Lepisosteus oculatus: one gene and its partners. The protein of the gene in region 4 interacts with the protein of the main gene of each other region in a biochemical or structural test. Links are inferred from orthologs where the notes say so. Each region holds a gene or a part of one and is shown on either strand. Other genes may lie near its edges.

What was found.
Region 1: the proteins of rps6ka1 (region 4) and erbin interact in a test that uses a peptide from one of them, tested with the Homo sapiens proteins (2 studies listed by BioGRID and IntAct). The link is inferred for Lepisosteus oculatus from reciprocal best matches to the Homo sapiens genes RPS6KA1 and ERBIN.
Region 2: the proteins of rps6ka1 (region 4) and magi3a interact in a test that uses a peptide from one of them, tested with the Homo sapiens proteins (2 studies listed by BioGRID and IntAct). The link is inferred for Lepisosteus oculatus from reciprocal best matches to the Homo sapiens genes RPS6KA1 and MAGI3.
Region 3: the proteins of rps6ka1 (region 4) and ptpn3 interact in a test that uses a peptide from one of them, tested with the Homo sapiens proteins (2 studies listed by BioGRID and IntAct). The link is inferred for Lepisosteus oculatus from reciprocal best matches to the Homo sapiens genes RPS6KA1 and PTPN3.

The regions. Positions count from the first base shown.
Region 1 is NC_090698.1:27,933,534-27,941,361, forward strand, and holds the start of erbin (erbin), read left to right. Parts: upstream 1-4,808; 5' UTR 4,809-5,107; exon of another isoform or gene 5,108-5,409; intron 5,410-6,168; exon of another isoform or gene 6,169-6,408; intron 6,409-7,048; exon of another isoform or gene 7,049-7,070; intron 7,071-7,828. UniProt on the Homo sapiens protein: Acts as an adapter for the receptor ERBB2, in epithelia. By binding the unphosphorylated 'Tyr-1248' of receptor ERBB2, it may contribute to stabilize this unphosphorylated state.
Region 2 is NC_090700.1:34,829,277-34,837,177, reverse strand, and holds the start of magi3a (membrane-associated guanylate kinase, WW and PDZ domain-containing protein 3a), read right to left. Parts: upstream 3,018-7,901; 5' UTR 2,874-3,017; exon of another isoform or gene 2,743-2,873; intron 2,259-2,742; 5' UTR 1,010-2,258; coding exon 703-1,009; intron 1-702.
Region 3 is NC_090705.1:23,825,718-23,833,653, forward strand, and holds the start of ptpn3 (tyrosine-protein phosphatase non-receptor type 3), read right to left. Parts: upstream 3,002-7,936; 5' UTR 2,891-3,001; coding exon 2,839-2,890; intron 521-2,838; exon of another isoform or gene 227-520; intron 1-226.
Region 4 is NC_090706.1:11,002,553-11,009,570, forward strand, and holds the start of rps6ka1 (ribosomal protein S6 kinase alpha-1), read right to left. Parts: upstream 3,007-7,018; 5' UTR 2,392-3,006; coding exon 2,329-2,391; intron 1-2,328. UniProt on the Homo sapiens protein: Serine/threonine-protein kinase that acts downstream of ERK (MAPK1/ERK2 and MAPK3/ERK1) signaling and mediates mitogenic and stress-induced activation of the transcription factors CREB1, ETV1/ER81 and NR4A1/NUR77, regulates translation through RPS6 and EIF4B phosphorylation, and mediates cellular proliferation, survival, and differentiation by modulating mTOR signaling and repressing pro-apoptotic function of BAD and DAPK1.

The DNA of each region.
Region 1 (7,828 bases), on a different chromosome or scaffold from region 4:
CAGCTTGTACACTCCCCTCTTGGCCAACTGTGCGATGCCACATAGGGAAACCACACCCAGCTGTCTCATAAACCAGTAGTGAATGTTCGTCAACAGGTCACAATCCGTGGTCCAAACCACACATCTGTACTGTGTAAGCCAAACAGCTCATCTTACTTCATCCTCATTTTTCCTTTGTTGCCTCTTTGACAAAGGATAGTGATACAAGCAGAGCAGGATTTTGGTGTTCGTATGCCCCAGGCACTTTTGCTCTGAAATGTGCAAAAGGAGGGGTACAGTAAATGCCAATTGAATTACGTTGATTGACATGATGCACTTTAAACTTTTCTAATGCTAAACCTCATGATTGAGCGAGTTGAGCAAGTCGAGCGACCATCCCTTCTATACTTCTAGTTTCTAGAACAGCAGCTAGATAGCATATGATTATTAATTTGGAGCACCTATAGTCGGTCGCAAGCATGTTGTTTCAGCTTGTTTTTCGCTAGTCACTAGGGTCTTCCTCCTTTGTAGGCCCTAGGCACTGTGCCTAATGGGTAATCTGGCACTGGATACACGTGTTTTCAAACCAGACATTTTTGGCATGTCATAAGTGAGTGATAAACATCTAAAAACATTATTGTTTTGTAATTAAAGTGGTAAATTAGGCATTATAGTTAGGGGCACTGGGTTCATGTAAATGAGTTTATCTGACGTTTAAACACAAACGGTACTCCAAAGGGGTCACAACTGGCAAACAAACCCATTTCCACTATGTGCTGACTGGCACATACTACAGCACCTTCCACTCATTTAGGAATAGTTAGGGGGGCAGTTAGTACCCACTGACATAGAGATGCAGAACTGCTTTGCAATTTAGTCCTAAATAAACTCAAAGCTGAAGACTACCCTAAGGAATGGATTGCACAGTGTACAATATGTCACAAAGAGCTAATCAACACCCTACGCAGACGATAGAATCCGGAAGGGAGTGAAACAAACATGGGGGAGAGAGGACTAGGAACGGGGCTGGTAGATGAACTGGGGGGGCGCGTCGACGGTGCACTGGTGCTCGGGGGACGTGGTTCAGGCGAAAGTCCAAGGGGAGTCCGAAGAGTAATCCAGAGTGAGCTGGGTGATCCATCCATGAAAGACACGACAAAAGTTAAAAACCGGAGCGGGATCCGGTGAAGGGACAGGGAAATAGAAAGGGGTAACGGGTCCAGGCGCTCCAGGCCCCGGACCCAGATGGTCAGGACACCGCTGCGAAGCCTATGCTGTTGGGCCACTCCTGGACCTGCTGGTAGGCGGGCTTCCGGGAGTCCATCTTCCAAAGTTGAGCCCAGACTGGTAGGAGCGTCTGGCTTTTAAAGGGAGGAGCTGGAATAGGAGGCAGGTGCAAAAAATCAACAGAAACAAAAAAGAGCCGAAGAGCCCTTAAGAGGAGGGACTTACGATCGTGACACAGTAATCATAGATGGGAAAGCAATCTTCTTTATTTTAACAACATTGTGGAAAATGTTAACTATTTATTTGTAAGAGTAAGGACATGTCATAGGTTTTAAATAAATACTGGCATTTAAAAAAAAATTAGAATCAGCATTGCATCAACTCAATTTAGATTAGCCAAGGGCTTTTCCCATGGATAGGCTTGTAGCTCCTATCCACACAACTGCACACAGGGAAGACTAAGGAAGTGTAGGTAGATACATCCGAGCCATTCGGTTAATGCTTACTGATCAGTGCAAACTGGAGGAGGGGCACATCCATCTGTGCACCCACTTGGGGTATCCTGGTTCAGTCTCCTTCCGACATGACCCGGTCTCAGAGCTCAGTGGCCTTTTCAAAGGCAGAACGAGGGATCCAATACCTAAATATCTTAAGAGACAATACATGTTGTTCTGTTAAATTCTATTAAAAAAAGAAAGCAGTTGTTTAGTATACCCAGAATACCCCAATTATTTAGGATTGTCACTGCAGTCTGGGCAACACCCCACACTCCACTAGTAATCTTAATTGTGCACAATTCCCCAGAGAAGCACTGTCTCCAAGATGACTGAGCTTCACCCCAGCAATATCTGAGCCACAAAAGTCAATCTGCATTCTAAACGGGTCTTTACTGGTTGAGCCGCCAGTGTCATTTAGACCCATACAAGAGATTTATTGGAAAACTTTAATGTAAACTGTTTATCTTCGAATGAAAACGGAGACACTAGGGAAAGATCAGAACAGAAACAGCTTAAAAAAGAACCGGAGTTCCTGGCACTTTATGGAGCAGTTAAGACTAACGTGTCTCTCCGAGACCGGACAGTTTACTGCATGTATAGAAATCGGAGGGTTTTACAAATATTGACGTATTTTCCAGGATTAAGTAAAAATCCAATAAAGTTTTTCCTCTAAACAAACGCCCGGGAATTCCCATTTTGCAACCAGAACTAGTATTACACACATCCCTCGCTGTTGCCATTAGGACCAAAAATGTCAGCTCGTAAATGGAAACGCGTAAGTGACAATTACCATTAAAATAAAATGGGGGTTCAAGTCTTCGATTCATTTCTAGTGCTCCTATCAGAAAACGAACCGACGTGTCTTGGTATTTTCCTGCTGTTTGTATTTTCGAACCATAAACTGCCAAGTACATTACAACGGGAATAATTTACCAACACTTTTTATGCAAGCTGTTATGTTTAATATTAGGAAGCAATTATGTGGAAGGAAGATTTGCATGACCTATATAGCACAAATGAACAATACGATATGAACAAAATAACTGTTAGTTATACCTTGTACAAAGAATAAAACTCTTAATTTTATTATTAAGACATCAAGCTGTCTGGTGATAGACACCGTGCACGCATAGGGGGAATAATCAAAACAAATAATTTAGTTCTATAGCATGTTAGAGTTTGTGAACCGATATTATTTACAAATTATACATTAGAAATATTATCCTACACCATATATGGTATAAGGCATTACAATTTCTGTTAAGAGCAGCCAAGAATAAACATGCTATTCTAAGAATAAGACGTTTAACTCGCACAACAAAAACGGGTCTGTGTACCACTTGTTTTAGCGAGTACTCTAAAGTAAAATAGTTTAACAAGGAATGAGTGCATATATTTCTTGGGATCTTTGCACCGTATGCCTCCCGTCTCCAAGTTTTGGGGTACACCGATCTCGTTCCCATCTGTTGGGCATTTATTTGTCAAGCCAAAACGCGTGATAACCCCTTTCATATTTCTCCTTCTCTCCCAAAAGAAATAATCTTTGCAACCAAAATCTCCGATAATTGCGCACCTTTCGGATCGACGTCGTTTCTGTCAGAGGTTGGGAGACAGGGAGAACTCGATTAAAGAAGGGCCAGACTCAAACTATGAAACCAGACTACGTTAAATCTAATGACTCTTGAAGGATACTGATGTATCGCTTGACTGTTTTTAATAATAATAATAATAATAATAATAATAATAATAATAATAATCATCATCAGAGAGGAATGCAATAGACATCTGATACTAATTGAATCGTTTATTTATTTTATAGGCACGTACATGTATTTTATTAAAACGAATTGCAGCTGCTAGGAGTTTATCGCCCACTAGTGGCTGTATATACATGTCCTGACTATTTTCCACACATCGCTCTTTGAGAGACTTAGGTTAAACATCAAAATTCTTCGTTTTAAAAATAGTAATAAATTATGGGAATAATGAGCTGCGCCGTAAATAATTTATTACAATAGTTTTGCGTTTGTTTTAAAATAAAACAATGGTGCCATGGGATTTTTAATGACCAAGTAGTCAGAAACACTTTAACAACAGTTAGGATTCACGTCTTACAGCTCCCTACTGTTGCCATTTTGTTGAAACTCTCAATAGAGGGATGAGAGAAACCTGCTTGTCCACCAGCACCATTGAAATCCGCAACCTATTTATTCTTAGTTCAGGTGGGTAGTTGCGCCAGCATGCGTAGGCTGCAAAGGAACAAGTAATAGGTTTATTCTATGCTGAAAAGAGAAGTAAGAAAACACGTTTCGGCTGTGGAGCCGAAATTTTCAGATTTGAAAAGCCCATAAAGTGGAATGAATCAGGCCATAAAGTGGAATGAATACATCAGACCCTACATGATTAACTAGTCCAAGACAGAAGATGTAGATGGGCATCATCGTGTTTAGTTGGATTCTGGTCGATTGACTTGATTAAAGTCATCCTGTTGCAAAGTAGATGCAGGTGTTTTGCCGTGTGATTTTTATTCACATTTCGTTTGGAAAAACTGGTGTGCACAAAACATACACCAGCAGTGCCTCGGATAACACACGCTACTGTTTCACAGTCGTATATCGTTTTATTTGGATTGCACAACATGTTTTTAAAGAAAATTTAACTATTTCATTATTTTGACATAAGGAAATAAAGTAAGGATGCCCAAAATCAAAACAAAGCTTAACACGCTGTTAGGCGACACAATTAGTCAGTTCCTGCTGACATTTCTAACTTTTGATTTCATTCTTACAGCAACTGAAAAGGAGGAAAACAACCAAACATGCTGTGTGTTTTGGGGGTCCCGCCTCCACACTGGGTATTGGCGGTCTTGCTTTATACATGGTAGATATGCAGCTAGCATTGGTTGTACTGTACTGCCCGTCACTATGTTACCTGATCTCGAAGTCAGACTGAAACCAATCAGCCCCAATCAGACTTACCTAGGCGTCTGGTCTGTGTTGCTGGGCTGTTGCTGTGCTCGGCTGGCTGGGACTTGATCGCTGCCAGAGCATGAATTACGCCGTACCGGAGTGCAAGTTGTGCTGCTTGCTTGCTAGCTCTCCCCGTGTTTGTGCGTGAATTTGTGGCGAATCTGTTTGTACATGTAGCCTTTTCACATTAATGAGAAGTTGGCGGGGGTGTCAGATTTGAATGCATATGGGTGCGGCGTCCCCTTTTCAGAAAAAAAGGCTTAACAGGATTTGTGTTCAAGCTTGGGGTTGAAAAAAGGAGAAATACTCGTCTTCTGGAGCTGCGCTGAGCGGTGGACATTTTTTCGCCTTTTGTATACTTGCGCTTTGTGGACATTTTGATTTTTTCTTTCTGATTGTCAGGCTTGAACTACTAAAGTTTTTTCAATTAAGGATGTAAGTAATTTTATTTTTTTGTGCTACCCTGCTAACAGGAAGTTACTTCCCCGAAGCAAAAAAAAACCTAAAGTACACGAAAGACAACTTTTGGCGAGAACACTGCACTTGGAGAAGAAGCACAGTCAATGTGATCAGTGTTTTGAGAGCTTTAATGTCATATGAGTGGATGGATGCAGTAGAGGTTTTTAAGCTATCTCGCCTAAGACGATTTGCACCAAAGTAAACAAAACAGTGGATTTAAAACACTTTCGGAGCTGCAATTTCAATGAAAGAAGGTGTCTGGAAACCTGACGTTTAAGGTAACATATGTGTACCGCTGAGTTTGTTTTAATCAAAAACACTTAGAAGATGGGGGGAAAAAACAACAAAGTTTGATCTAGATATCATTTGACCTCGGAAAACTCGGAAAGGGTTAAGGATCATTTTAACCCTGTTTCCGCCCACCCCAGTAATGTCGTTGGCTGGTGTGTGAAATGGTGGTGGTAAACTTGAGCTGGAATCCGCAGCCACTGGAGGTTTTAAAGGGGGCAGACTGGAACAGAGGAGCTATTGTTTAACTCCAGAGACTCTGGACTGAATCTGATGTGACCGCTGTCTGGATGCTTTCCACGGGGGATTTTTAATCATCAGTGTATTTACTGTAAACCCCCTTTGTTTAATACTACTAGTATTACTAGCGCATCCCAAATGTAGTATCAGATGCGTCTCTATAATAAACACGTGAAAGTGAGGTAGATCTTTGGATTTTATTAATTTCTACTAGTATTTTCGTGTTTTTGGAGTCTGTGTAATTAGAAGGGTAATTCTGTATGGTTTTATTTGTCTCGGTTTGCTCGCCTCTATTGGTAGAACGAAACAAAGCCACAGCCACAGGAGCTGTCAGATATATTAATGGGTATATATATAATTTGCATAATACAGTACTGCTGTAATTTTACTCTGTTAAATTACGATTTACGCCGTAAGAGTACGTTTTGAGTAACCCCTTCCTTTCTGGTCTTAATGTTTTGTTGGAGAAATATGCGGAAATTTACAGAGCACCAATGCCATTTAAGTTGGCATCACTTCCTGTGTAGAATAATTTTGCCAGGTAAACCTTGTGTTTTGTTCAGATACGTCTGTCTGATGAGAGCTGAAAGGATTACTTTCGATATTTTCACGTTTTAATAAGATTAGGCTAGGGATTTGGTGTTAACTGTGCGACCTCCTGTATTTGATCTTATGGGATGCAAAGGAGGAAATCTACTGTACGACTCGAGGGGCATAAAAACATCCCATCCGTTGTCTTACTTAAAACGGTAAATAAGAAGGAACTGAAATCGATCAATATGCTTTTGATTGTCGAACTAAATTTAACATAGATAAAAACATTTTATATTGATTGGTTTATAAACCTGATGTTGTTGTTTTTTTTGCTAATCTGATCCTCTGTGGTTTTAGTTTCGTACATTTTTTTAAAATTTCGATTTACCAGCTTTGCGAAATTGTATTGAAAACCTCAGTAAAACTATCTTCCCCCTGTTAATCATGCTGGAACAGGATTTAGTGCGTCAAGACAGGTAGCAACAATAAAAAAAAATACGATGAGCAACCTAGGATGGTGAACCAGTTAGCCATTGGTTATATGGCCAATTTGTTTTGCTTTGGAGCATATTTAAATTTAAAAAAATGATGTAGATGGTTTAAACTAGTGCTAGTTCATTGAATGCAAAAAAGCCGAGTCGTTAAAGATTTACAAAGCCCTGCGGACGCTGTTTTTATTAGAGGACAGTGATTACACTATAGACGTGGATCAAAATGGAAGCTCTTTAACATCTTATTGATGTTTTTTCGCCATTTGGATAAGATCTAGTTATTTTCCTTGGTATGTGCACAGGTATAACCGGCTTCCCTTGAATTTGGTGTAACCTTGCAGCGGAGACGGAAAGAATCTGCTAAACTCGTTGACACAGGTGTTGGTGTGAGTAGTTGGTCTGCCTTTCCTCTTTTCACCGTCACAGGTGGAATATAGGGAACATTAGGCCACGAAATGGTTTCATTATTTTTCTCAGTGTAGATTAGTAATTATAATAGTAATTAGTAATAAAAGAGAAAATAAAAAAACAGTTCTTAATGCATTTATATGTAACGTGACGGTTATTTTTCCAGTATGCTTAAGTCTTCTTAAACTCTTTTTGCATAGTAAAAAAAAAAAGGTCAAATTAATGTTTTGTTTGAGAAGGAGACTCGGTCACTGGGATGATTCTTAAATGAAGACTTGTTCTTGTGGGCACTGCAGTGGTGTAGTGGTTAGAGTTCTATGTCAAAGCTCTTTGGATTAGGGTTGAATTCTGGCCTGGGGCTCTTTCTGTGTGGAGTGTGCATTTTCTTCCCATGTCATTACATGCTGATTAATTTGCATAGTTAAGTAAAGTGTGTGTGTGTGCGCTCTGTGATGGACTGGTGTTGGTGGTGGGGGACTACACACACTCAGTGTCTGCTGCTCCCAGCTGTCAGTCCTGGTCTAGGAATTACCTCCTTCGTTTGCTGTTTTTTTTTTTAACTGGACTCTTGGGTACCCCTAGTGATTTGTGAGATTTGTAATCGGTATAAACCCTGTGCAAGCCAGCAGCCATATCACCCTGTGAAGCCAAGCAGGGTTGAGCCTGGTCAGTACTTGGATGGGAGACCTCCTGGGAAGCTGTGGTTGCTGCTGGAAGTGGTGTTAGTGAGACCAGC
Region 2 (7,901 bases), on a different chromosome or scaffold from region 4:
CGGGTTACGTGCCACAAATCTTAAAGGTATCATCAGTAAGCGGGGTAAATACTACAATATATACCAGCATACAGTTGTCGAATGTATCCTTTTGCGCTAGTACTAGTAGCCGGTTTTTAATAATACTGTACGTGAGGGGGTTTTTAGAGAGAGCTAGGGCTTTTCGATAACCGCACGAAGACGCAGTGCGAGTCTGAGGGGTGTTCACAATATTAACTAAAACCCTGTCTTGAATCTCAGTCCAATTAAACAGGACTGCGTCCAGCGCAGGCTGGCCTTGCGACACCGGAGAAGAACGGCCACTGACCCCTGACTTGGCTGTAGCAAAGTCCGTATTATTACATGTTCCACTCTGTTGCATAGCCGTTCGGTCAACAGGCCCTCATGGCAACAACTCGGTACAGGATCAACTTGAGACAGAAAAGGCAAAACACTCAGAGCGAGATCCATGCAATATCTTAACCACAGAGCATGAAATTAGCACAAGTTTCCAAATGCAGACTATAATTAATACAACTAGACCGTGTTGTTAGTTTAAAGAATCCAAATAAAAACTAATAATGAGCATAACCATAAAGGGAATAAAACTGGGTTATGATAGGGAAACGATTAATCACTCGCACTGACAAGAGGACAAGTATATTTGATTTATTGAAGAAGCGTATAAAAATGCGAACAGTTCACTTAGTGATAAAAACTCACCTGGCTTGACGGTCTTCAGACGAATCGGCTCCCGAAAGTGGCGGATAACTGCAAGCGTGTCCCTGTTCGTGAGTCCGCTCACCGGGGTTCCGTTCACCTCCAGCAGCACGTCCCCGGGGCTCGGCAGCTTCCCGGAGTGACAGACAACCGCCTCCAGCTTCACCTGGCCCAGGTGGGGGAACTCGCCGAGCTCCGCTCCCCCCAGGACCTCCACCACCGAGCTGAACTCACCGGCGCTGCCCCAGGACACCGCGCACTCCTGAACTTTGCTGGACCAGTGTTTCTTCTTCCTCAATGTTTTGGACATGTTGTTTTACTCCCCGTTAAAAGCTTTCAAAAAGCAAAGTCGCGTTTTGTTTGTTTACTTGATTTTCTAGTTTCCTACGACACGTTTAAACAAAAGATTAGAATTGCATTATGTTGATTGCGAAACGAAGTAAGCCTCCTGTTGTCTCTTAATTCCATTCCTCCAATAGTGAAGATTTTAATATTTATTTTATTTATATAATTTTAGCTACGGATAATCATCTGTGCTCCGACCGTCACTCATTGTAAATAAAATGCTATCATTCAAGCTTGTGGCTCGCTGAAGCAGCACGTAAATAATCCAGCCTTCCCATTTAAAATTTCAAATTGCAATGAAACAAATTAAAATAATATTATGCTGCCAGAAGATCATTATTTTCAATCAGTCGTGCATGTCCGATCCTGTCTATATTGATCTCCAGCGATGCTTCTCACGGCGTTGTGTATATATTCTTAGACATAAAAAAAAACAATGAATAAATGCAAATAGCTGATTTCTGTACTCCAATGAGCAAATGTCCTATCCAAAGAAGGAATTAACAATCGATCGGCTCAGTTTCTTGTCGCTGTTTACAAGGTAGTCACTGGCCTCAACCTGATCAAACGATCTGATTAATGAATCGGACTGCTGTCACTACGCCAAGTCCACGCAATTTCTTTAACAGTTTCGCCGGAATTCCAAAAGCACCTGCAAACTATATCAGCTGGAGGTGTAGCAGGGGCATAGGAAGAAAACACTTCCAACTTCAAACTGAGCTTCACGTTATTATTGCCCCGCGTCTACAACAAACCTTCCGTCACTCGCGTCCAACGCACCTGTTCGTTTTTAACTTGGCAGCAGCCGCATTCCTGTGAAATGGGCACGGCCGGCGCAGGCAGTGCTGTTGTGTGTAATACTCGGAATGCCCGTGTGTGTGTTTTTTTCCGGAGGATTGTTCTCAATCTGTCCCACAATCCTGCTGAGCACTTTCCACCGTGGCGACCGCACCGCCGCGCATCTGCCTCTTCCAGCAAGCGGCTCCGGGTTCGCTAGCTCAGTCACAGCGCCGGCAGCCTCCCTCCCACGAGCCCGGAGTGGGAAATGATTCCAGAACTTTTTTAGTCATTTTCACCTTGTTAGTAGTGCTGGGGTGGGCAAGGCGCGGTTGACTGCTGTTGTTTCGAACCAATCGCGGAGAAGGATGGGGAGTAAAAACACTGGGGGCCAGCCAATGCTAAAAACAGCTGGGCGGGTCTTCCGAGTTGTTACCCTGTAACACAGAGAGATAGCACGGCTAACCCTTTGAGTGCCGACCGTGCACTTCGATCCTCATGCTATTATTATCATGCTCATCACAGGCGAACACGGTGCTGCTCACCGAGTACAAGGACCGTATCGTGTTCCCTCTATCACCCTGCACACATTTCTATCCAGACTCTTTTTAAGAGGAGATCAGTCTGGTACAACGTCAAAATGAGATTCACCGGCAGGGGAATTTGAGCAAATATTTGGTCACTGGTCACCGCGATAATTTGCTAATGTTCCAGAAATTGTCTCACTTGTTAATACTACTCCGGTACTAATATTTGTAAAATCCGCGTTACCTGTCAGTCCTTACCTTTCCCCTAAAATTAAAAGGACACTTCGCAGCGACTAGGTTACTGTGTTCTCTCTCACCCCACGCAACACTTTTAAAAAATTCTACTCGACTACACAGTATAGGTTTAAGTTAGCAAAACGTTAAAAGATCGCACCTTGAGAAGACAGGACAGCAGAAGAAATACGACGTTCTGCACCACAGGTGAATGGCGAGCCAAGAACCGGAGGCTTTTCAGTGCTTTTTTGTATTAAACCGCAGGAGGAAGATCGTCTTCCAGACACCTACCACGTTTAATAAATGCGCTGTTGTCCGCAATTCCACCGACTCTCAGCGGAGTCCTTGTTATTCAGTTACTACACAGTTAGACAGCAATACTAACACTGTTGCCTTAGTCCCGCATCAGGATACCTAAGGAAGTCCTGTACTTTGCGCCCCGAAGCGTCCCATTATTTCAACAAGAGAATTTGCGTAGACCTCATCAGTACAGACCTAACTGGACGCTTACGCTATTGCTAGCACTGCGTATTTCAAAAGCACGTATAACCCCAGTTTTCGACAAAGAAAACTCATCATAATTCATAACAGCAATGCAAATGCCTCAAATTCCTGTTTTCGAAATATATTTTTTATAATCAGTACAGTTTACAGGCGGGGAAATGGAAATAATGTAAATGTGTTATCTGCTAATGCGAAGGTATCGTAGTGTCTCGAGCCTGCCATCTTGTGGTGAGGAACAGCAATGGCAGCCTGATGTTCATAACCTCTAACACTTCACGAAGTACGAAGGACATTTGTCATTACATTACTCAAGGTCGACATCATCATAATATCCATCTTTCAAACAATGCACAGCATTACTGCAAAAATTAAAATATACAAATACTTAACTTGATTACGATTTTAGCTCTTTGGATTAACAGCAGCCGCAATACAGCAGTCCTACACAGCTGGGTACACTAGCCTCTATCATGTGGTGACGCTCTTTTCTGGACATTACACATATGGAGAGGAGCACTGCCAGTTTATATAACGCTAATGCCAAGACTGGATGGCCCTGGTCCACTGCAGCAATTGTAGTCTTCAACCTGTTGTGTTACTTATTTTGAATTTAATTTGGTGTAAATCTTGGGTCAATTCATTTTTTTATATATCATATAATGTAATGTATTCTAAGTCTTTCATTCTAATATCATTCTAAGTCTTTCTTACCTTCTGATTACCTACTGTATATATCCATTCATACACCGTTGTCCCGCTGTCTACTCATTCAGGCATGTCTGTAGCACCAGATTCCCCATATCTTTAAAAAAACATAAGGCCTCTGACCTGAACCCTGAACCCGAGACAGAGGACACAGGAAGCCAACAGCTCCTCCACTGTCCACCTGAGCTCTGGCAGCGGGGATCAGAGTGGTGGAGCGTGTTAGCATGTCCCAATGCCATTGTCCATTAAGCCCTCTGCCGCATGGTGTTCTGCCCCATTAGGCATCACAGTCGCACACTGTCAAAGAGCTAGGACGAAATCCAGCTCAAGGGCCAAGTGACAAAAGTCTAAAACTGATTAATTTGATCTACATACAGACAGCTAAAGGCAGAGGGAAGTCAAAAGGCTTGTGACGGAGTCGAGGACTTTCCTTTTTCCACACATTGTACCGTTCATTTGTAGAAAATAATATGTAGCGGGCTAGAAAACATGATCAAAATGCACCAGTTTTGGATGATATTCCCTTCATTGGCTTTGTCAGTTCCTCCCGCCTTGTGCCTGTTGCTTGCCCGGATAGGCTCTGGCTCCCCCACGACCCCTACCTGGAAGAAGAAAATGCAAAAATGGGTGGCTTTGTCCATATCAGGTATCCCGTCAGGCTCATAGCCCCCCTTGTAATAAGGATTGGATGCTGGAGTAAAAAAAATGTAAAACAGCAAAATAACTATACAAAAAGCCAGCAGCCATATCACCCTGCAAATCACAACTGGCAACCCACTGAAACTAAGCAGGTGTGAGCCTGGTCAGTACCTGGATGGGAGACCTCCTGGGAAAAACTAAGGTTGCTGCTGGAAGAGGTGTTAGTGGGGCCAGCAGGGGGTGCTCATCCTGCAGCCTATGTGGGTCCTAATGCCCCAGTATAGTGATGGGGACACTATACTGTAAAAAGGCGCCGACCTTTGGATGAGATGTAAAAACCGAGGTCCTGACTCTCTGTGGTCATTAAAAATCCCAGGGCGTTTCTTGAAAAGAGTAGGGGTGTAACCCCGGCATCCTGGCCAAATTTCCCTATTGGCCCTTACCAATCACGGCCTCCTAATAATCCCCATCTATGAATTGGCTACATTACTCTGCTCTCCTCCCCACTAATAGCTGATGTGTGGTGAGCATTCTGGCGCCCAGAATGGCTGCCGTTGCATCATCCAGGTGGATGCTGCACATTGGTGGTGGTGGAGGGGAGTCCTCATTACCTGTAAAGCGCTTTGAGTGGAGTGTCCAGAAAAGCGCTATATAAGTGTAAGTAATTATTATTATAAAAAGAATATCACCGCTTTATTACAGGGCATGCACATTTCCAATGGCTGTGCTTCGAACCTCTCAGATTCGTCAGTCAAAGCTATACTACATGAGCAATTTGAATTACCTGCAGCTTAGCATTTGACTGGAAATTTGCATGGCAGAACCAACCAGAATCAAAGCCTGTCTTGACAAAAAAAAAGTTAAGAAAAAAAAAAGTCAAACCGCACGGTCCTATAAATTAAAAAGACACTAAAGTTACAGCATCAAGCTTTAATGTGTGCCAGGCGGCTGAAGGTGAAGCTGATTTCTTTTCTGAAGCTCATTCAGATCAAACCTGATCCCCATTTAGGACTGTTAAATGGAATCAATGACATTGCTAAAATTGAATGCATTTATTCAGTCAGCTTTTTCTACCTCTGCACTCAGTCCTGGTTCAATAGCTGGTGATCACGAGGTTTGTATCCCTGCCAGCTAACACTGGACCTAATCTGAAAAGGTTAATTGATATTTTAATTCGTCTCAGCCTTAATGTCTTCTTGTCAAGTTGGAGAGGACTTTTCTTCAATTTGTGGTTCAGTGGGATTTGCTGGACTTACAAATGTGACAGGACTGTGGCTGCAATGTTTTCACCCAAATGTAAAAAGAAGTCACTCGGAGCACATATTCCACTGAATATGCTTGGCTTGTGTTAAAGGAATCTCAGTTCTAGAAAAATGACAATGTCTTGGACATTTGGGATACCACCAGACCTTCCCAGTCTTGGTTGGGGGCTGTCTATTACTTTTTACTGCCGCCGATCTCTCAGTAATTTAACAAAATTCTTCATTGCTATGATCGTTAGCTTAATTATACATTCCTGCTACTAAGAAGGTGTAGATTCCAGGCTAGATTAAAATATGAAGGGTGCTTTGAAATCTCTAACCACAACAACTTGAGAACAATGAAAAACATGTCATTACACAAATGAGTAGTTCAGTTAAATATCCAATTAAGTCACCGAGATCAAGCTGGAATGAAAAGAAGAGTGAAGGCTTTTGGCGTCACAGGGAACACAACTGGCCAAGCCTGGTATACTTTCTCTCTCTCATCTAGACCAGTTCTCAAAGGCCACTGATCTCATTATTGAATTGAAGTTGTCAGCTGCTAATCGAAAAGCAGCTACACCCCCTACACCCCCTCAAGGACTGAATAGGCAGCTGCAGTCCTGAAGAACCTAAGAGCATTCTGGTTTTCATTCCACCACAGATCTTAATTGCTTCATTGAAGACATTATTTGCATACAAAGTCCAATCGCTTGTTTTATTAGGTCTCTATCAATTACTAACTGAAAACTACCTACCCAATCCTGCATGGATCCCACCTTCAGAGATCTAGACCACGTTCCTTACTTACAGTACTAGAGAGCACCAGTCAAGCCATTGTCATCTCTTATATAACCCGTCCTGCATAACACAAACACACAAGAAAGGTTTCAAGAGAAAGGAGGCTGTTCAGCCCATCTAGCTAGTTTGGGAGTAGAGCAATAAATTGGTCCACTTAACAAGTCAGGAGATTAAGGGCACAAGTCGAAAGACAATCAGAAGAGCCTCAGCCCACCAAAGCAGTGCTCTACAGACTTCAAACACATGTAATTACTGATCAATTAAGTACATTACATATTCAATTAAGTAGTGCTTGAAGACTGAAGTGTGTTCGGGTGTTAATTCAAATGCATTCATTTCCAAGGTACTTAAGGTATCAAATCACTTTAACTGGTCACAACATTGTTGTTCTAAGTCTTTCGAAAGTGGTAATTTGAAGAGGTGAAAAACCATGGCCCAGCAGGTCTTACAGGGAAATCACACTTCACAATAAGCACGTAAAAACAATTGTAATTAAGACCAATAACTGGTGGGATTAAATCATCGGGAGCTCAGGTAGAATGACGAACAGGGGTGCGTTTAGCACACCTTATAATCTTGATAAAAGTAAACCAGTCATAGACTTTATGTTTCTGTTCACTGTAATCTGGATCATTTTCGGTCTGTTTCAGAAAATGTCACTGCTGTGTTCTATTTATCCAGATTACAAGTATTGCAATTACGAAAGCCAATTTTTGGAGCAGTTCTTAACTGTTGATCAGGCCTGACAAAGATCCAAAAAAGAAACAGAAAAATTAGGTACATTTCTACTACACAGTATTTTTTGTTAATCTGATAACATAAAAAGCAGGCAATTTGCATTCAAGGTTCTTGCACAGATAATACAAATATTTTTTTAATTATATGTATGAGATATGTGCAAAGGTTTTGGACTTTGTTTTCCTCATCCCTTTGATGTCCAGCAGGTCTAAAACAACCCCCTAAGCATGAATACACATGCTTAAGTTTGTTCCAATTAGTTCTATTTTTCTCTTTCTCTTCTGCAACACATTTCAAATCACTTGTCCATTCACAGCTCAAGTCATATATTGATTGTTGGTTACATCTGATGTAGACTGATAGGCCCACCTCTTTCTTTCAAGAGACCTGCCAAACCTGCTGGACTTTCCCACTGAGGGACAGACTGTCTAAATCCATTGTTTCTCCTTGGCATGATTTTGTTTTTCCCAACCAGCATTTTAAGAAACTGAATTCTGCAAGGATGTGGGTTCTTTAAGACCTGCTGCTTTATTTCAATTATTTTAATCCAGCATGTTAAAATAAGGCAGGTGCTGTTTTTTTTTCGGTTCAGGACAGCACTTCTGCATCAAGATGTTCTAGTTCTATCATGGCCCAGCTCTACTGAAAGGTAGCAATGACACATCTGTCAGCAGTGACAACGGGTTACATG
Region 3 (7,936 bases), on a different chromosome or scaffold from region 4:
ACATTCCAATGTCAGCGATACAAGCAAAACTACGAATCCAGGCAGCGCTGTCGAACTGTACTGAAATTCATTACTGTAAATATTTACGTTGCTATCACAGTCATCTTTACAAGGCTTCACACACCTCATATTTAACTGGGAGTAGCTCTAAACGAGCCGTATGACTACACTACTACCTTGCAGGTTTTCCCAAGTAAAAAGCCCGTGTGTGGCACTGTGTTATTACCTTAACCATCCAGATTCTCGCAGTTTTGCCTTTCTTCTCTTTACATGTGCCACAACCGTTCGTCCCAGTTTGTGTATCCGTACAATTCAAAGACAAAGACAGGTGTCGGCAGGACGGATGACCAGGAAGAGAAGCACTGTTCTTTTCCCCCTCGCTCCCTTTCTTGTTGGACTGCTGCGATACTCGATCTCCGCCTCTCTTCGGGATTCCCGATGGCACAAGTGCTGATCGGCAATCTTCGGGTTTTATCGGAAACCTGGAAGCGATTCCAGGCTGGAATAAAAAAAAGCTTCTGCTCGCATAGGTGTCGACTGCGCCCTGTTTTACTGTAGTTTCGATTTTGGACATTAATCAGCGGTTAGGCAAGCATTATGTCATGTAGAACATACAACCTAACAATAACCGAGATCATATAGCGTCCGTGGAAATAGAGTCTGTGTTTATGCATAACTTAAATTTCTTAAAACAATAAAACAATTATGGTATTTTTGTACAAATATGTCACTATACAGATTGACTGTATTCGCAATTATAATTACTATTTATTTTTTCTGTAATATTTTGTCTTAATTGTTACCTTTCTGCTTACAAAAAAATAATACTTTTCCTGCTGTTTCCTGGACATTAAATTCTGTCTACCTACGTATGTAGCTGTATGAGGATGTAAATAAACATGTATCATTTACTTTCCCTCAGAGAAACATGCGATGATTACGTGTGGTGTTGTTGATTTTTTTTCTCAATATTTTGCCAATAATAATCGCCAAAAGTCCCCGGCATGATTGTGTTTGAAGAAAAGAAAGTTAAATTTCTGAAAACTCATCCAACTATCGTATGAGATTTTGTTTTGTCGCAGGACAGAACGGGTGGAAGGTAGAAGGGGCTCCCCTGGCGGCAATGTTATGTAAATGCTGCCATTTTTCAAAGTGGTTTTGGAAGTGTATTATTAAACGCATTTCCGAAGGGTGTTGTCTTCTATAAACGTGAATTACATTTTGGGTGTTTCTGCAAATTGGTATCAATATAGAAAACTGGAATTCTTTCTGTGATCTTTGATTTTTCTTTTGTTTTATTTAGAACAGTTTATACTTTCTTCTATAGAAAATGTTGGGCATACATAGTATACTGTACATTAAAATGATAATTTTAAAGAACGTTTTTGGAGTTTATTTGAATTAATGGAGTACAGTATAGTTTAGCAGATCTGAAACAGTCATTATGAAAATAGCTATAAGCAATACAATACCAAATTCAGTTTGAGTGTCTGCACACATACAGTAAATACTAGTGTGTGTGGGTGTGTTAGAAAATGTTTAGTTTTGATTACTTAAGGAGCAAAAGCTGCACAGTTACCAATTAGATACAGGCACTATTTAAGCATTTATTTTTAATTAGTACAGTTAATAACATTAAACTCCTATGTTCACCTTGGAATTTTAATTTCTACCACAAAAAGAGTCCTGTTTTATGCTTTCCTTGTTTACTTTTTCATATAACTCTTGCACACCATAAGGCTCACTGGGGAAGACTTGTTCTGACTGCTCTATTGTGTACATTATGTCCCACATCTCACATACTGTGTTCCAGCTTTAAAAAGGGTGGCATTATAAATGAAATTCATGTTTACCTAAATGGTGTATAAAAAGCAGTAATTCTGCTACATTAGAGTGATTAGCCGCTGTGAACCACTTGCCCTTTTCAGCTACTCACCAGCAGACATGAACAAGGAGACCAATTATCTGCTTCTGCATTGAAGTTATTATCACTGTCATCAAAACACAGTTAGGCCCATTTAAGATCACTTCAAAGCACCCCTGTACAAATGATGGCAATTATCCTAGTTGACTTTACTGGGAGTTCACCGATAGACAGGTAAAACATATGACAGGATTTATTGAGCCATTTTCTGACAATCACTTTTACATTGCAATCAAAGCCATTACTGCAAAATGCTGGGCTACATTTAAACATTTCCCACTTACTATGCATGTATACATGTAGAGCGTATTAGATCATTAGTAAGTAAAGAGTCGTAAAGAATAATCAGTTTTATCCATATACTGTACATAAGTAGTTTTACTTAAATTTGAGTAAGATTAGCTAAAACTCCCATACTGTATTCTTAGGACCATAAATTATAATGGCTTCCTTTTTATGATAGAAGCCTGTAAAGATAGAAAGTGCACTTTGTACCCTTAAAGCCAGGACAGACATCTATTGCCTGTATTTTACTCATATCACAGAAAAAAAAATCATAATGCTATGATTAACACAAAGTTTTTTCTAAACAAATATGTATTCTAAAAATTAATACTAAACAACATCTAGTCTATACCCTGTAAAGTTCATAGGTCTTACATAGCCTTCACCAATCAGTGCTACTTAATTTTATGTATTTAACTATAACCAAAATATGTTGTGGTGCTTTAAATATTCGAGACCTTATGTTAATGTAACTAAATCTATGAGAGTATTCACATTTATAAGCACAGATGGTGGACAACCTGCTGTCCACATGGACATCTGTCCACATGTTTTAGTAAAACAACCCTTTAGTGTTTGAACACCACTGCTGGCTACTAGAAGACAAAATACATGAGGAATGAACTCACCTTCTTCTTCCAGTGAGGGGGCTTGTTGATGCACACCTTGGTCCTCCACCATGGCCTCCTGCTTTATCTTATAATCCTCAATTTATTCGCTATTCAATCCATGCAGCATAGAATCATCAAAGTCAAGGATGTACAAACAGCACAGCAAGTAAAAGGCTGTCTTCATCCAATCTCCTTTTCTTTCCTTTCTTTTTCGTATATTAGTTCTCCAGTACAAACCAGAGGAACAGGTCCTTGCACATTGCAAAAGAACAGCTTAATTAAAAGCACACACCCTTTCTGTTGGCTCCTAAAATGTCTAGCCTGCTTCTTTAGGGTTGGAAAACAACACATGCTGAAGTAATAGCTATGCTGGTGCACTGGGAAATAGGTTGAAATGAATAAGAACTTATCATTTCCCTCCTGAAATGAAGAGTGTGGGATTTAAATATGTACCATCTGGTTTTTAAACAGTACCCTACCTCTGTATTCTCTGAAAACTTTATATTGTCCATGAACTGAAAATGAAACACGTTTAGTTGTTTGTGCACTGTGGCATGATTGTATTGGTAGTGATGCAGAGGCTTAGATATTTTTCCAATGTTTGAACATGCAACCAATAATATCTTCTCTATCTGAACATGAGCCTAGGTAACCAACAGCTGTAGGTTTATGTTTAGTCCTTGTTTGGCATATGTGTTATTTACTTGTAGCTAGGTATCAAGAGTAGACGTGAAACTTCTGTGTTGAGAATACCAAAGCTGCTTTGGTTTCTTTGGAAAAGCATGATCTATGTTGTGGCGCTAATGTAATCCCAGAGGACAGTGTGCTATTTCCTCACCTGTTGCAGGGCTGTTTTATGCTGAGTGACACTGACTCAGCCCTGGTGCCGCAATAGATATGAAACTCAATTACTGTAACAAAGGCCTCCACCCTTTCCTTCTTCTAAACTGAAGACACATCTCTGTAGTTTACCACGCTAATTTGTTCTCATCAGTCACATTTTCAGATCAACTTTGACTTGCGTTCTGATTAGACGTCTTATTTTAATGTTTAGGTTGTTCATTTTATAAACTTTAAGTAAGGTCCTGAAATTGGAGAACCTTGAGTCATACCAAGTTTGTTGGGTTCATGAAATGTTTTGTTCACATCTTGGGATGTACAATTTACTACATCTTCCTGGCCCTACGTAAAGCACGTTTTGAGAGTTTTTGTTTGACATCACTCTTTAATTTTGAAGTTTATTTATTTTATTTATGTCACATGTTATGTAAAGCATTTGTGACCATGTTTGATAACAAAAAGCAAAGTGTCTATTATATGTTACTGTGACAGACCATTAGTAATGAAGGTAGTAATTTCTGCTGACACCACTAGAGGTTGTTAAGACCTCTATTTTTGTATGTACAGTAGGTTCACATGGATAGAGTTGATTACTTAATTATTGAAGGTCCAACAATTATATTTAATTTAGATTTATTTGGTACATAAAGGGACTCACAGGGTAAGGGTAAGGTACAGAGTAAGTATAACAGGTTATGTCTGAAAAGAAAGTCTCCTTACACAAATATGTTTTGTTGTCTAATGTGATTTCAATGTGCTCAGGACTCACAAGCCACATGTACACCTTAGATAGTTATGTGATTGAGTCCTGTGATGTGACTGACTGTGTGCCCTCTTTGCTTTCTCATGAACACTTCAGTTATCCATGGATGAAATGGGTGTGATTTTTCAGACTATGTCCATACGTGTATCTCCTCTTGTACTAATGAGAGGAATCTTTCCTGAAGGAACCTGCTCCAAAAGGAATAATTTCTGAGATACTGCGAAATCATGGAAATAGTGTCTTGTCACAATATTCAGAACCTTCCTATGGTGTCCCATTTTGTGAAGTTATAAAATGATGCAGACACATTATTTTCTACGCCAAAAATACAGCCGAAATGTCGTGTTTCTTTTCTTCTCTTTTCAGCATGGAATAAACCTTTACCTTTACAATAATACGTAATGCAAAACCCAAAAGGTGAGAAAAGCAACAGTTAATGTAATCAAATATTAAGAAAAAGAAATGGAATATGTTGATAGTATAAGCATTCAGACCCATGATCTCAACTTGGTAAAAGCACTTTTCATAGAAATTATAGCCACAAGTGCTTTGGAGAACATTTCTACCAAATTTGCTCACTGGCTTGGTGCATTTTTTTGCCCACTCCTCTCTGCAGATTTGGAAAAACACTCTCAGGTTGCTTGCGGATTGCATAACAGCTTTCAAGCCTTTCCACAGGTTCTCATTAGGATTCAAGTCAGGGCACTGAGTAAGCCACTCAAGGACATCTACTTTCTTTTTCTTAAACCTCTCTAGTGTAAATATGAACTTGTGCTTTTGGTCATTGTCTGGCGGAAAGGAAATTTTTTTGCCCCAGTTTTTGGCCTGGAGCAGGTTCTTCTCTAAGATATGCCAGTACTTTGTTCCATCTTTCTTGATAAGCTTCCAAGTCCCTGCTGATGAGAAGCAGAACTAGAGTATAATGTAATGCTGCTACCACTATGCTAGACTGCAGAGTGATGTAGTCTGTTGGGTTTATATCACATGTAGGATTTTACCTTTAGTCCACAAGGTTCCAGTTTTGTTTTGTCTGTCCACAAAATCTTTTTCAGCATCACTTTGGTGCTTTGTTGCAAACCCCAAGCAGAACTTGAGATGGGCTTTCCACTGTGCTGCACAGGCCCGTTTTGTGGAGTGGCTGGGCGGTGACTTTGAAACAGCTACAGAGCTCAGTGGCTGAGATGGAAGGAAAAGTGCATGAGTCAACAAGATGTTGCCATGTTGACTCATGCATTTTTCCTTCCATCTCGGCCACTGAGCTCTGTAGCTCTTTCAAAGTCACTATTGGCCTCATAGTGGCATCTCTAACCAGTTTAATCTTCCTCATCTTAACCATTGTCTTTAACATGCTCAAGGAGATATTAAGGATCACTGAAATCTTTTCATACCCTGCTCCTTATCTGTGCCTCTTTACAACTTCATCCTTAAATTTTTTTAAAGCTTCTTGGTTCAAGCTCTTTGCTTGAAATTCACTATGTGACTGAGGGACTTTGTAGAAATATGTGTATTTATTCTGAAATAATATGAACAACTATTATTGCACACTGATAGAGGAAACTCGACTAATTGTTAAACTCATTCAGGTAATTTTGTGCACCTAAATTAATTTAAGTTTGCACATTGCAAAGTCTTTGAATAATTATAGAGTTATGACTTTTCAATTTTCTCTCATATCTTTTTTATTTCTTTCTTTTTGTTATGAAGGTTAGGAATATATAACAGATATTAATTGCTACATGTAAGCATCAAGACTTTAAGCTTTATAGCAACCAAATGACCAAATGTTAATACTTTTGCAAGGAACTGCATTTTATAGAATGAACTAATATATTTGCCACAGCAATGTGGTATGATGTTTGACCTTTGTTGTGGATTTGGGCACACATTTCCTCTTCTCAATTGCATCTATGATTTTCCTCTAAGATAAACTTCAGTTAAGGATGTATTGAATTAGTTCAAAATATGGTGAAGAAACACAACGTTTACAGTAATAATAATAATAATAATAATAATAATAATAATAATAATAATAATAATAATAATATTAACAATAATAATAATAATAATAATAATAATAATGAAGCCAATTCATAGACAGGGATTATTAAGAGGCCATGATTGATAAGGGCCAATGGGAACTTTTGGCCAGGACGCTGGGTTAAACCCCTACTCTTTACGAGAAACGCCCAGGGATTTTAAATGACCACAGAGAGTCAGGACCTCGGTTTTACGTCTTATCCGAAGGACGGCGCCTGTTTACAGTATAGTGTCCCCGTCACTATACAGGGGCATTAGGACCCACATAGACTGCAGGGTGAGCGCTCCTTGCTGGCTCCACTAACACCACTTCCAGCAGCAACCTTAGTTTTTCTCAGTAACTTTTCCATTTTATTGCACACTACCCCATTGCATGCTGTTTGAACAACAGTGTGTTTTGCTCTTTCCACAGTAACTGGAGAGCATTGGAGAGTCAATGTATCTTCTGGTTTTACCTCCACCTGGATTGCTAATGACCTACTGTAACTTAATGGGACTGATTTAGCATTTCCCCTGGTCTAAAACAGTGAATGATTCACAGATATCCAGATGCTCTGTTGAAGGGAGGACCCAGAGGACCTGAATACCAAGCTTACAGTATCATGTAATGGAGTTAGAACTTATTTCCCAATCTGATTACAGTGTCACAAACATCAAACATTCAGATGCCTTAGTTATGAAATATCCTGCTGCCTGTTATACCAGTCATTCTTTTGTTAACCCCACGGGTTTCCTACGTATGCAGTGCATGATCAAACACAACATTCTTTAGTAATTGCTAGATACACATTTTGGATTCTCTACTGAATGGATGAAGTTCAGACTGGATATCCAGTGGACACTTGATGTGACACTGATTTGCTAGTATGTTAAAAAAGCACTACATTAAAACCCATCATCATGTGGATTAACATAATTCACTTGGTGAATAACAAGCTGACTGTGTGTCAACTCAATTAATCTTACCAAGTATATGTTGGTTTCATGAGGATGATTTTAGTGAAAAATTAAATTTCTTGCTCAAACTAGTTGAACAAAAATTCACAATACTTCATCACATCAACAGAAATATAACATATGTATTATGTATTTGTCAAATTTACTTTTAACAACATTATAATATTATTCTATACATGTTTGTGCTCCTGCAGCTTTGTGAGTAAGTACTGTGCCAAATGCTACAGAATGAATACAGAAAGTCCATGTCTGTAAGGCTTTTACCAAGGCAAAAATGCCTAAAGCACTAAACACTATATTATCTTTGCTGCTTTTTTCTTATTGAGTAGTTGCTGATTAGGACTTTGACATTCACACTAAAATGTATTAATAGACATTGATAGCCTTATACAGTATGTTAATTATTTTATGCTTTACCATGAAGGACACATGCATTAATGAGCATAACCAGGTCGTTCAGCATACGAACACTGGTGACAGACCAGAACACATACTGTACAAGTCAAGTGCTCTCAATAG
Region 4 (7,018 bases):
AGGAGCCAGAGCTTATCCCAGCAAGCAATGGGCGTTAGGCAGGATATACCCTGAACAGGAGGCCAGTCCAACAGAGGCCACGCACACACTCACTCACTCCTGAAGCTAATGTTCCCAGAAGCCAATTAACCTACCAGCAGGTTTTTGGACTGTGGGAGGAAACCAGAGCACCCGGAGAAATTTCACACTAACACAGGAACACCATACTGTACAAACTCCACTGTGAACACTCCAGAAAGTGAACCCAGGGCCCCAGCTCTGCTAATAGCTCCACCACTGTGCTGCCACAAAGTTAATAACTCTGAGAATTATAACAAAGGCACTTTGCACTCTGCAGACATAATGCAGCTGGGTGGAGGGTACTGTACTTCAACCCTCTCTCCTCTCTCCTCTGAGGTGCACAGTCACTGTACACCAGAAGCTCAATGACAGCACAAAAGGTAGATAACGCTGGGATGTCCCAGCCAATTCATTTAACACGGGGGCACAGAAAATGTTTGAAATGAATTCTACCAGAACACAGGAGCTCTGCACTTTTCCAGTTATCTAGTTTAATTACCAGAAGCCAGGTCATTTTCAAACTTAAGGTCAACTCATCCAAAGGTTGGCTCCAACCGTAACATTGTCCCCTACTTGGCAAACAGTATGGAACTTCTGCACCAGGAGGAAAGGCGTGACCTACCCATCCAACAATGTGCCCCACTAAATACACCTTCATCATCACTAGTGAAACCTTTCAGAACTGAATTGTCAACCTGGGCGTCTTTGACACTATCCAGGGGGTCCCCAGAAATCAAGGGAATTTTAATCCCACGATCAGTATAGTGTAAAATCTAACAGCCTCGTTGAGGACTCTGTATGCTTTGACAAATATTACAGGGGATGTGCAGCCTACTGTACAGCAAAGACACAACCTTTTCTCAACCACAACCTCCTTCACATTATTTGTTGCAATCACAGTTGTGAACTTCAGGGTAATTAAAATCTTGGCTCCTTATTAGCGGTGATCGCCCTCCGTCACGATCCTGTCCGCCTCCACTTACTATAAAAGGCTGAGAGCTCCCGTCGATCAGGCCGTACAAAAGAAAAGCTGGAGCCCATGCAATAAACACACAGGGGAAAAACACTCAGAAATAGGCTCTTTCTCTGCCCCGCGTCTGTCAAGACTAGTCTACGGCTGTTAAAAGATAATTCTGTGCAGTCCCAAAAGCTCTGTTTGGAAAGCATAGCAGCCACACTGACTGCCAGCACTAATACTGGAGCATTTTCATTGCATTCCCAAGCATTTTCAGGAAGAAAGCAGCAATCGGGCCAGTCAAACGGATCATCGATTAGACACACTGGCGAGGCTGCCAAGAACACTGACTGGAGGAGAAGGGAATTGAGAGATTAGCGAGTTTACTTGTAACTAGGGGCCGTGATTCAAACCGATTCACAAATATAAGGATGACACCGTCAATCAGATAACGCAGTCGTCTTCACCACCCCTTTAAAAGGAATAACCACACCCAGTACAGCGGACGGCTCTGTATACAATATGTAGGTAGGAACCCAGCTCTCAGGACCAACAGAATTCAGTCTAATCGTCCCTAGTCCATATTCGATTTAACGCTATACTTCAGTACCGTCATTCCTACAGCACCTCGCTGTTCTAGACACCTGTAGATTCGACACATCTGGACTTTCGGCTGCAGAAGAGCGCACCAGCTCTGCCACTTACTGTACAACCGACAACCCCAAGTTGCTCTATCAACGGGTCGAGCTTCAGTGGAAAAAAACAACAACAACAGAACTTGTTTAATGCTAAAGGTTACATTAGAAAAAAATAAAATGCAATCTCGAACCAGGCGTGTGATGAGCCTGGGATGGTAGTGGCAAGTACAACTATCTGGATGAATCTTGCTGCAGGCTTTTCTGCAGCAAGCGGATTTCAAATGTATTCACACACTAGACAAAGTAAAACTTTTCACAAAACTTTAATATACATTGCTGGGACTCGGTGTTAACTGTGGCAAAATCACATACTCCTCAAACTTTCTGCGCTCAAATGTTTACATCTTCTCCTAAATTCTTTAAAACTTGTTAATGCCTAATATTTTTTATTTCCCCCACTCAATCTATTTTTTTTATCGCAGTGCTATAGGAAACGCTCTGCTGTTATGCAACCATTACTTCATAACACCTAAATTAAGAACTTATGGAGTTTACTCCTCGAGTGCTGTAACCTCTTCCCCACGTGTGCCTACCTGGCTTCCACAGCACTTAATGGGAAAGTGGGGGGGGGGGACACTTGACTCACAACGCCAAGCGAACCGGCTGCATTCTTACCTCGGTTTCCAGCTGAACAAGCTCCATCTTGGGCCATGGGTCTGCAAGTTGTGCGAGTGGCATCCTGAAACCGTATCTTCCCAAACACCCGTAGAAATCGTTACACTAATGAAGCCAGGCTGAGCTAGAACTCCCGAGGTTTTTTTTTTTGCAGTCCACGTCTTGCTAGCAGGAAAGCTCGCTCACAGGATCCTACCGTGGGAATCTGTTGGCAAAACCTCCTAGCAGCTCCTCTATAACCCAGTCGTTTACAAACAATAATGATCCCCCTTTAAAAATGACGTCGGCGTCTCCACTTGTCCACTTGTCCTCCTGCGAGCTTCAGACGGATACAGTCTCCCGTGTTAGCCCGAGCAAGCAAGGGGATGATTCTTCGGTGTGACTCGGCGGGCTCTTTCTAGGCAGGTACGTACAGGTTTGCAAGAAAGAAACAATGTAGCCGAAGCTCTCCAAGGTCGATGGCACTTCGCACCTGAGCAGCCCTGGGTCTTTACGCCCCAGGAATCGCTTTCTGGATAATAAATTCGCAAATCGTTTCCCAGAGGTTTGCAATGCGTTGTTTCCAAACAGGCGTTTTACGACAGCTGCATGGAGCTTAACCCAGGTTGTCAGACGCTTTCCGCTGCGAACCGAGAGCGCAGCGCCGTGTATCTCTGACTCCGCAACTGGCAGCCTCCAGCCAGCTTTCACCCTACCCCTTTCACGGCTCGTCCGGGCCGTTTGTCGCCCTCTAGCGGAGACGTGGTGCAAGCGAGGACAGCTATTCCTTACGACTGAATTGATGGGGGGAGATAACAGGGGAATACTAGAGGGTATTTGCAATGTCGCCAGTCCGGAGATGGTAGTCTTTCTTATTTTATTTTTAAATTAAACAAATAAAAACGTTCAAATAACTTTGTTTTTTTTAAGATAGTGGCCAGTCTTCGGAATCCCTCCCAAAGAATATTTCAAATATCTCCGTATAAAATCTATGTATTATTCTAATTTCCAAAAATGTTAGTTACAAATATTTACTTAATGTTGCCTTCATCGCGTGTTAAAAATCAATAGCATGCAACTTAACTGTTACCATCAATTTGTGAAGTGTGGATTTTTTAATTTAGTGAAATATTAATCAATATATTGCATTCATTCAGAAATGTAGCTGTTTTGGGGAAGATTTCAGTATCCCCGGCTTGGACATCAGAAGCCAGCAGTGGAAGAGAGCACCGTCTTTTAAAGAAATGAATGAACAGCTCAGAGAAACGGGGGACAACTCAGTCCCACACCGGTTCGGATCTCTTTTTAATGATAACACACTGCTTTTCTTCCTGCCTCGATATTAAAAAAAAAATAGGCGAACTATCGCTCACTAGCTTCTCTCACGAACAAACGAATCCTTTGGGGCCCTCTGTTGGCAATCAATCCTCAAAGATTAGACCATTTGAAATTCATACATTCATAAAGGGGGCTCTTCAATAACATTCCTGCTTTCGCTTCCAATGTGATTCAATTGGTGAAGCACGTCTCCCCCTTTTCTTCTGAGCGTGAGCTGCCGATCACGATTTGTCGCCCAGGAAAGTGCTTCCCGTCGACACTTTTGGGTTCCCTCATTATACAGTACATTGTCCTTAGGAGTGAATAAGAATAAAACCAAATTACCCTCCTCTACTACTGTTACTACTAATGATAAACTACAGCAGCTACTACTACTAAGAGTCTATTATTATTATTTAATAGTAATAATTGTGTATTGCTTAAATATCATTAATTAAATAAAAAATATAATACCAAAATTAATCCTTAATAATAAATTAATATAACAAATATATTAACAATTATTATTAGTAGTAGTTGTATAAAACTGCTACAACAGAAAATAATTTAGAGTGCTTACTCGAGGGTAAGAGTCACATCACTGGTGTCAGTAACGTGCTGTAATAACAGGACCCTAGCCAGCAGTATGATGTAGAGCAAGAGAGATCTTGCTAACACCCAGACATTTCCAATGGTGATCCTCACCAGTGGAAATTGCTCACTGAAGCAATGTGCTCTGGTTCTGCAGAAATTCCGGAGCTCCTGCATCTGTGACATCACATCTTCGCTAATGTAATAGTGTCGATTCTCGATGCTAGAAGAATGCCAGGGAATAATCTTCAACAACACCCTTCAGGCTGAGAAAAGACAAAGCTCTATAATAAAAGAGACAATGTAGGCACACTAGGCAGACATTAATAAATAGCAGGGCCTTCTGCTATTCTATTAATCATACTTAAAGAAAGAAAGTGGTTTTTATTATACACTGCTAACAAAAATCTCTCAAGAGAAGAGAAATATTGAAAATTGAAATATAGCACCCATTCACAAGAAGAGTAAGGAACCCAAGCCAATGGAGAATATAATCAGATTACAGTAGAGGACTGACTGTATGGTAGTAGGATTATAAGGGATAGTTGACATGGATTGCAAGAGGTTTGTCTTGCTAACTAAAGCACTTTAGAGTTGTTTGGAGAAGTACTGTAACACCAGCAATGGATGAAAGATGAACACGTTTTATTCTATATTTAGATTTTCAAAAGCCCTTTTATGAGGTTCCCAATAAAAGGATTAATGCTCAGATCAAACACATTGCTTGTGTTTGGATGGAGAAATGACTACTAAAACAGAGTCCAAAGTTTTCATAAATCAGCAAAGTTCCTATGTTAACTTGATTGGCATATAGTCAGTAAACTAGTCAAGTTCACAGCTGAAATAAGAAAATGGGAAGATGAGCAAAGATTGTAGAAGTAGCAGAGGAAATGAAAAAATAACTTGTATAAAATCAAACCTGGTGGAACACCTTCTGGTATTTAATATAGACAACTCGGGAGAACTATATGCAATTATATGCAGTTAAAAAATACAAAGAGAAATTTAAAGGGATATTATGTTACATGTGTACAATACATTAGTAATAACACATTTAGATTTGTGATCAGTACATCCCTGGTCCCCTGGTCTTATACACAGGAATGTTATACACTTAAAATTAAAAGTTAAAATAATATTTTAACATAATATAATTTAAGCAACAACATAAGAAAGAATGCAAGCAATATCAAATATCCAACTTCCGAGTTTGATAGTTTAGTAAATTTAAACTAAGATTTCATCCAGCTTGTTCTTTAAAATGCCAAGAGCTTTGGTCTTAGCCACCTGCCTGGGAAGCGTGTTGTAGATTCCCACAATTCACAATTCACAATTTTTACATTTTGAACAGAGATGACTGCGAAGGGACCTGATTCAAGAATTCCAAAACCCCAGTGGACTAGACCACCAGTAACACACAAATCAGAGCACAAGCAAGTGCAATTCACATGAGGACAGGATGCACCTTTCTGACACAGGTTGTGGGAGTCAGGAACAAGGTATTCTGCAATGGGTTTGAAGCCAATAACCAGGCTTCTTTGATGAAAACTGGACGAGACCCTCAGAATAACTTAACTGTTAGCAACAAATAGGACAGATTGGCACAACGGTATCCTCCCATCTGTGACGTTATTTTATTAAGTATATTTCTCGAGTCTTGAGAGCTGAGTGCAAACCGGTCTGAGCAGAAATTGCACAGAAGAAAAAAGAATGACAAAAATGAAATAATGAATCGCAGTGAGACCTAACTGATCTTCTGTCCCTTCATTTTCTAACTGATTCTTCCAATTCAGGATCTCAGTGGAGCCGGAGCTTATCCTGGCAAGCAATAGGCACACGGTGGGACACACCTTGGACAGGATGCCAGTCCATCGCAGGCAACACACAGATACAGATACACACACTCACGCCAGGGCCAATTTTCCCAGAAGTCAGTTACCCTACCAGTATGTCTTTGGACTGTGGGAGGAAACCGGAGCACCCAGAGGAAAGCCACACAAACACAGGGAGAACATATAAACTCCACACAGACAGCACCCCAGGAATTGAACCCAGGGCCCTGGCACTATAAGGCAACAATGCTTAACACTGTGCCGCCAATGCTACACCAAACTAATATTTTTGTGTTTCAAAAATACATTGAAATCCAGTACAGAATTTCAGTGATGTTGAGAGATTATTCCATCATTACCGAAAGCCTCGAGGAATCTCAGGATCTTCATTCGCATGAGGGTTATGACTCAGCCAGATCAGGATTCCCAGGGCTATGCCACGAGCTAGCATAAATGTGTACTGCGGGCTCCTCACTTCAGACTAGAAATGATGTGAGTTATATCGAATGCTATTTGTTATGGAAACACTATTGAATGCCACTGGGCTAATAAGACTCTCTGTCAGGTTTCTGCAGTTACTTTTTCAAATAGTATTATCTGGAATAAATTCAAATTTTTTTGTGTGTTGACTGGAAGAAGTGAGGCTGCCTCTTTGCATGTCAAAACTGAAAATATACACCCACAGGCATGGTAGGGGTCCAACTGCACCGAGACCCTTTCAGGATAAATGTAGGAAACAGGGCAATACAGAAAACTGGTTAGTTAGGGATAAAATACTGTGGAAGATTTCAAGTCATTTGTGTGATAACTGGGAGAAAATTATTGTTGAAAAAAATAATAATATTAGCAAAGCTACTGTATATGTTCAGCTAGTCCCTAATAAGCAGGATTTACAAGTAGCCATTAATCAGCTCTTTCTAAAAGCCTTAAACAATTTGTGATTAATGAGAGGTTACCTTACGTAATTATTT